Linked DNA regions of Drosophila melanogaster. Changing the gene in region 1 together with any one later gene gives a genetic interaction. Each region holds a gene or a part of one and is shown on either strand. Other genes may lie near its edges.

What was found. A genetic interaction does not mean that the proteins touch.
Region 2: of corto (region 1) and Trl, changing one enhances a phenotype caused by changing the other (phenotypic enhancement), as found in Drosophila melanogaster (one study listed by BioGRID).

Annotation. Positions count from the first base shown.
Region 1 is NT_033777.3:5,085,288-5,089,043, forward strand, and holds the start of corto (corto), read right to left. Parts: upstream 1,786-3,756; 5' UTR 739-1,785; coding exon 1-738. UniProt on the Drosophila melanogaster protein: Essential protein required for proper condensation of mitotic chromosomes and progression through mitosis. Binds to specific polytene chromosome sites, many of which are shared with the posterior sex combs (Psc) protein.
Region 2 is NT_037436.4:14,756,164-14,759,919, reverse strand, and holds the start of Trl (Trithorax-like), read left to right. Parts: upstream 1-1,957; 5' UTR 1,958-2,078; exon of another isoform or gene 2,079-2,436; intron 2,437-2,583; exon of another isoform or gene 2,584-2,589; 5' UTR 2,590-2,824; coding exon 2,825-3,016; intron 3,017-3,756. UniProt on the Drosophila melanogaster protein: Transcriptional activator that functions by regulating chromatin structure. Overcomes the repressive effects of chromatin by promoting the open chromatin conformation in promoter gene regions, thereby allowing access to other transcription factors.

The DNA.
Region 1 (3,756 bases):
TTGCTGCTGCTGGGCGCTCGTAGCCGCCCGGGCTCCACGCCGCGCGGCACTACTGCTGGGCGCCGTGGCCACCGCCGCACCGCTTCCGCCTCCGCCCAGGGCCGCTCCGCTGCTCAGCGAGCTGCTGCTCACCGCCCGCGCGGTCGCATGCATGTTGTTCACGAACGGGCTGCGCCGCTGCGACTCCATCTTGCGGAAGTAGCACGGGTGGATCATCAGCAGGGGCTCCACTCTCTGGCCCGCCGGCGGCTTGGGCTGGTTGGGCAGCTCGTACTCCACGCTGCAGTCCACGTGCAGCGGGATGCTGTAGTCCTTCTGCGGCGATGGAGCGGGGGCTGCGTTGCTGTTGCTGCTGGCAGTCTGCTGCTGCTGCTGCTGCTGTTGCTGCTGTTGTTGCTGTTGTTGTTGTTGTCTGCTGTTGGCAACCGCGGCGGCGACCTGCGTTTGGGTCGCCGCCGCATGGCTGTGGCGCGAGTTGCTGCTGCTGCTGGTGTTGGCGGGCTGGTGGTGATGGCGGTGGTGTTGCTGCTGCTGCTGCTGTTGCAGCAACTGCTGCTGGTGGGCAGCCACGGCGGCGTGGTACATGTGTTGCTGCTGCTGCTGGTGATGATGCTGCTGCTGCGTCTGGCTGTGCTGCTGCTGTTGCTGCTGCTGTTGCTGCTGCAGGGCGGACAGGGCCGACATGCCGTGCGACAGGGACGACATGTCGTAGTTGGCATAACAGGCGGCCATCGTCATTGCTGTATTCAGGGGATCTTTTAGCTTTTGCTCTCGTTTCGGTAACACAGAATTCGCTTTTGGTTTGCTTATTTACTTAGATTTAGATTTTTATCATTTTGCGGATGTTTTTCGCTTTCTTCACTTTCGAAAAAATTCACTTTTGTGGTTTTATTGGCACTGGTAATCCAAAAAGAGCGGCTAACGGTAAATTTGCCGCTGCAGGTAATCCGTGAGTTGGTTGTTGCTTTTGTTTTTGTGTTTTGAGATAGGAGGAACCTTAATCCATATGTGTGTTTGCTTTGCTTTGGAATTCGCTTTAACCCGTATAATATTAGCTGCTGTTCGCGTGTTTAACTTTGTTTCGTTACGTTTATTGTATATTTATTAGCGTTTTAGTCAGTCTTTGTTTGGTTTTACATAAATGCAGCGAACAGTTGGAGCTGCTGGGTGAGTGTGAGTGCGAGTGGGTGCGCGTGTCGGGGTGAGTGAACAATCCACGTGTGTTTTCAGTCTTTTTGCCCGTTTTTGCTGGCTAACTTAACCGTTGCTTTTTAGCTACTCCTTGTCTTCTTTCCATTCGGTTATGCTCTGTTCTGTTCTTTTCTCGCGGGGGTGAGTTCGCGGAGTAGGTAACTTGTTAGTTCTATGCGCAATAGAACTGCCGAACGAACGTCTCATCCACTCCGAAGAAAAACGCGATCTGAATTGTAGTTTCTGCTTTGTAGTTTTGCTGCCGCCGCTTGCTTCTCTGCCGCGGTCTCTGCCGACGTTTGTAAGCGCAGCGAGTATGCTGAATACGGAGCGCGCACGAAAAACAGCTGTTGGCTAGACGCCTACGCCTGTGTGTAGGCTTTGCTTTTATTGTTTTTGTTGATTGTCTGCCGATTTACTTATTTTTCGTATCACAATTGGCTGCGTTGCGTTTGTTTTTGGGTTTTAACTGCGTGTTCACCTTCGACGCGACGTTGAATCTTCTTAACTCTCTTCTTCGTTAATTACGTGCCACAGACCACGCTTTATCTCCTCCTATGTCCGCACGAATCGAGCTCTTTGAAGCGACTGACTCGAAACGTCGTCTTCGCTCCATTCTGCCGACGCCTACCTGCTGTTCGGCACAGCTGATGTTCCGTGACGTATTCAGCACACACACAGTCGCAGGAGACGAGCGCAGAGTTATTGTTATTGTTGCTTTCCTATATAAATTGCATTCAATGGCCGCTCTCTCTCCCTCTCTGTGACCGCTCTCTCTGTGCCTGCGTGTGTGTGTGTGGTATACATTCAGCCATGTTACTACACGGCGGCCATCTTTACAACTGCTTTGGTCGAGACAGAGAGAGACAAAGAGGCGAGAAAAGAGCGAGAGAGCGCACATTATTTTGTAATACGATGTCTTTAACCGTTTTAGTGCTTTAATTTTTTACGGCAAACGCATTTTTGGGAGCAGCTTTATGGGGTCGTAAAAGCAGATGGGTTCTAAAGGGGTTAACGGCGAGTTGAGAGCTAATTGAGCCGCACTAAAAACGGGGAGTTGAATGAATCTATCAGCATCACCTGGTTAAAATGGGAATGGGTTATTTTTACTTATGTATTTCTGAGCACTTTGGTACACCCCTAAAACTTAAAACCCATATAATATCAACATAAGCAGTGTGATCTCCACACAACTGCCTAAAAATCCTCTGCGACGCAACTTCGAACACACCTACGTAGTTCCTTAATATAAGAATACAACAAATACCCCAAGAACCTCTCCGGTTTTGGAATACGAAAGCTAAACTGCGCACTGAGAGACTTTCTGCAGACCAAAAAAGGAAAACAAATTGCAAAAACTCAAACAGACAGCGATATTAAACATTTCTGTACTAAAAAATGGGCAATTTAAGTCAGGAAAGGGCACTGTCTCGCTCGCACACACACAGCGAGAGAGCGAGAGAGAGTGAGAAAACGGCTGGGAATTACACACATTGTAATAAATAAGGAAGGTCGTTGCCATAGCAGCCGCCGTTGGCGTCGTTTTTTTCCCCCCATTTTGTTGTTGCTGCAAGAGAGTGGCTCGCTCTGTGGGGCTCATTCAGCAACTGCTGATAACAAATCAGCTGTTTTGTTATTTGGGGAGGTGTGTCCGCGTGCGAGTGTGTTGGTGAGTCTGGCTGTCTCTCTTGGTACATATTTGTTTTTTTTTTTCTCAAAGCATATGTTTGTTGGAATCGCTGTTGCAGCTGTTGTTGTTGTGGGGCTGAAAGTTGTTGCTGTCAAGTTGCCATTGCATTTCAGTGTTGTTGCTATTCGATGTGCAAGTAAAATGAAAACCTATGTGGCGGATTTGCATTGAAGCATGTCTTTTAATCCAAAAAGTAAAACTAATGCTTCTTATTGTCTACTAAAAACTAATAATTCGTATTATGTGCTAATTATTCTAAGACTCTTAAGAAAGAACATGATTGGTGCATGTATACAAGTTAATGGATACTATTGTTTGATAGCCTTAATGATTTCCTGCTTTTCTACTGTTGTTGCCATGGTTTTGTTAATGAATTGTCTTCATTGCATCTGGGATTGTGGATGGTTTTTGGAGTCTGGTTTGGGTTAATATCGACACTATAGTGTTGTAGCTTTATGCCGACTTTTATGGTGCTGTCGCTGCTGCTTTTAAGCCTTTTCTTTATTGGTGCTTCCGCCGTATTATTTGTATGGGTTTTGGATCTGATGTAGCTGCCAGCTTTGCACTCGTGCGTCCCTTTGTGTGCTTATTTCTGCTCTGCTGTGCTGTTTTTTTGCAGCTTTTTTCTGCCTTTGGTTGCTTTCTGGATTGATGTTGCTGCCGTGATGTTGCTGCTTGCGTGCTTAATGACGAGTCGGCCGCATTACAGTTTGATTACGGGCCGCCAATTTGGAAATTACCGAACTGCTTGAATTAGCGGGCCAGTCGCTCTGCTGGAGAGCCTATGGCTCAACCCCAACCCAAGCGAACGGCCAGAACGAACAAAAACGGGCAGCAGGAAATTGGTCAAGAGGGGCAACAGACAAAACGACAAC
Region 2 (3,756 bases), on another chromosome or scaffold:
AATGAGGTTATAATTCGATGGCCCCCATCAAACGCCAGAGCACACATACATACATATGTATGTACATACATCTATAGGCAAGCGGCGATAGGCAAATAAGTCGCATACATTTGCGTATTTGTTTTCAACAAATTTGTGCTGAATTCTTCATGTTTTGCGTTCGTTTCAAGTATATTCAGTTTTTTTTAATAGAAACAACGTGATAAGGCGCGGTGGGGAAGGCCAGGCAAAAGTCGTGCCGCGCCGTTCGAATTTCAAACAGTCGAGCTGGCGCACGGTGGGACAAAAGCGTTGTTTAAAAGTTTTAATGTTTTAAAGTTTCATACATTTTAATAAAATACAAAAATTTAATTTGAAAATCTTTAACTAACGTACGGCCAAACGCACTATAAAAACTAGCCAATGGAAAAAATAGTCCAGTAACGCTTATACAATTTGTTTACAAAAACCAGTTATACAATGTATTCCAAAATTTTACATAGTAATTCTATTCCTACCACTTATGTTTTGTATCCCACTGTGCTTGGTTTGCACTCATTCCTCCACCTCTGCCGAGTCACCCACCACCAACACCCCCCAGCGCGCACGCTCTCCCTCATTCTCACATCATGCTCCGTTGGTTGGTATTGCCAGCTACGAAACATGAAACATGCTCACTGCTTTAACGCCGATTGGAACTTTAAAGGGGCATTTCGAACGGCATTTCTCATGGCCCCTTCCCTGCCCAGCAGCATCATAACAGAGAAAATTGTAATCTTAAAAATTTGGACACTCGCTCACTTTATATTACTTTCTTCTCTGAGCGTTGGCTAGAAGTGCCACTCTCCTTCTCCTTCAATTCCAAATTCGACTAACTTCCCTATCGCGGGGTCTCTCCGCTCTTAAGCTGGACTTGATCTGCATACGAGAATGAGACTGGCTATATGTTTTTACCCCGTAGGGTCTCGGTCTCTGAGATGTGTCAAAAGTAACAGGTGATTGGATTGGATTCGAAAGGAGAGAGGAGAGTTAGAGACAGGGGAAAGAGAATGTAGAGCGTAAGAGCGAACCGGCTTTTCTACCATTTGTTATTATTACTTTCACAGGATCTGTTAATATTTCGGAACCGAAGAGAAACCCAGTCCCGATACATGTCTATTTTAATCTAAACCTATCAGATTCTTTTGATTCCTGTGTAACCCTCAGTAGCATTACACTTGTTCCCAGAAAAATGGAATCTGGTATCTTAAAAAGAAAACTGAAAGTAATTTATTCTGAACCCAATACCCTTCTAGATTTTGGTGATCAAACATAATAAATTGTTAGATTAGGGACTCGTTCTACGAAAATCTGCTTATCGATTTAATCATAGCTAATGTTGGAATTTATTTTTAATACAATTGCTCGATACCTTAGCTAGAATAATTCAAAAACGTTCTGAATTGTTTATCCTTCATTTTTAAACTGTAAAATTTGAGCTTATTCAGAGTGGAGTAGTATAAGAAAATGTTGAATATTTTGATACCGGATCCGATAGTTATAGAACCGGAACCTACGGATCCCGTTGACCTTTTTCTTATCGCACTCTGATATTCCAACCGGTCGGACACATGTGTTTTTCATCCGTGAAGTCGGCCCAGAATATTTCCATCATTCAATATTTACCACCTTTTATAGTTTTGTTTACTATCTTGCCGACTTTTTTGTCTTGCCGTCTTGCTCTCCTCTCCATCCTAAAAATACTCTTCCTGCGCTCCATCTGGCAATGCCGCTCGACAACTGTACTTCAAAGAGCGTTGCCAGGCAGGTCACTTCTCTCATAGATACACAGATACAGGCGCGCACGCACACCAGCACGCAAAATAACCACCACCAGCAGTACAGAAATTACACATTTTCTCCCCGAGTAGAGAACTGAAAAACTGGCCGCGCTGGCAGCGCCGGAGCAGCGAAATTCGATCGAAACCATTTACTCAGTCTCAGTTCGAGTTATCCAACGTTGGCGAGCGGACAAACAAGCAGGAGAAAAAAGCGTACGGGCAAGAGAAAGAGAAGGCACAAAATCACCCACAGCCACTGAAATTTTCTTTTGCGCTCCGGTGAGAAGATAATTTCACAAACCAAAACCGAACCAACAAACAAAAAAAGTGCGCTCCGTGAGCGGGAAAACAATAACAAAATCAAGAGACATGCGATTATAAAACGAACAAAATAACTGAGTGACAAAAAAAAATTAAATGCGTGTCTCATGGCTTGACTGTACTGTGTATTAAAAAATGTGATTGTGTCGGCTGTCCGTCTGTCTGAGTTTGTGCGCGTGTGTGTGCTGTTGGCGTTTTTAAATGTGGCGCGCTATTTTTGTGTGATTTTTGTGGGCAGCAACGAATTTTGAAACATCAATTGTATACTAGTTGTCAGTCCCCTTGTGAAAAAGTCTTCTCCAACAACAAAATTCCTGTGAGCAGCCTACACACATGCGTTGTCTCGCTCTCGCGCGCTCTGGCCCCCAAAGAGTGCGAGAGCGGGAGAGTGAGACCGAGAAAGAGAGAGAGAGAGAGAGAGCTAATAACTAACGTCTGTACTCTTTTTCTTTTCCATTTTTCATTTCAGTTTCGAGAAAGCAGCGCGCCAAGCAGCAAGAAGAGGAAGAGCAAAGGGAGTTGGAAAAGCAGTGGCGTCGTGGAGGAGGAGTAGAAAGGGGATTTTTGCGAAAAATCCCAACTTGAAGAGAATTTTCCCCGTAACCGTTAAACATTAAATCGTCGTGTTGGAGACAAATAGCAGCGAATACGCTAGCAACGCTGGGGAGGAACAACAATTGTTGGATTTGGACGCGACCGCTTTGATGTCGCTGCCAATGAATTCGCTGTATTCGCTCACCTGGGGCGATTACGGCACCAGCCTCGTATCGGCAATCCAATTGTTGCGCTGCCATGGCGACCTCGTCGATTGCACGTTGGCCGCCGGCGGGCGGAGTTTTCCCGCCCACAAGATAGTCCTGTGCGCCGCCTCCCCCTTTCTGCTGGACTTGCTAAAGGTAAGTGCTCGGTTCGGAAACACTGCCTAAAACACCTTTCAATAAGAGAGCTTGTACATAACCTCAAACGTTTCGTACAGTTTGTAAACAGAGAAATCCAATCGCAGAAATAGGTTAATGTTTGGAGCGCAGAGAAACTGACACTCGCACGCAAATGCATACATATGTATAAATAACGCAGATTTACGCTCCGCTCCAAAAGTTGTCTAGAGATTTTTGTACAAGTTTTCCACTGTCAATTGAGTTGAATGAGTGGCTCCGCCCCCCGCATTCCCGCCGTCTATCTTGCTTATCAGCTTTTTCTTGTTGCAAAGTTCACCGGAGAACGAGAGAGTGAGACGTAGAGACAGAGCGCAGACAGAGAGGGAGAGAGCGAGAGAACCAGTTGGTTCGGTCGACAGAAAAGTGGTTTTGGGCCCGGTGGTGTAACAGAGAGGGGAGAGCCGAAAGCTGGTGCGCCAACTTTTAAATCGCATGTGTTAGAGCGAGCGCAAACGAGAGCGCCAAAAGCAGCGCGGCAACTGTTGTAGTTGTTGGATGGTTGGAGCTTTCGTCTTGCCTTTTGGTTCTTGCTGTTGTTGGGTGCACACGAGCGCGACCTCTTTCTTCACAGACAGAACTGTACAGTTGGCTCTGGCTAGGGGGAACTTGAAATATTGGGGGGAATATGGATACATATACAAAGATAATTAAAATTAAATTTGTATTGATTGGTTTGATTTCCTTAACCCATTTCCTAA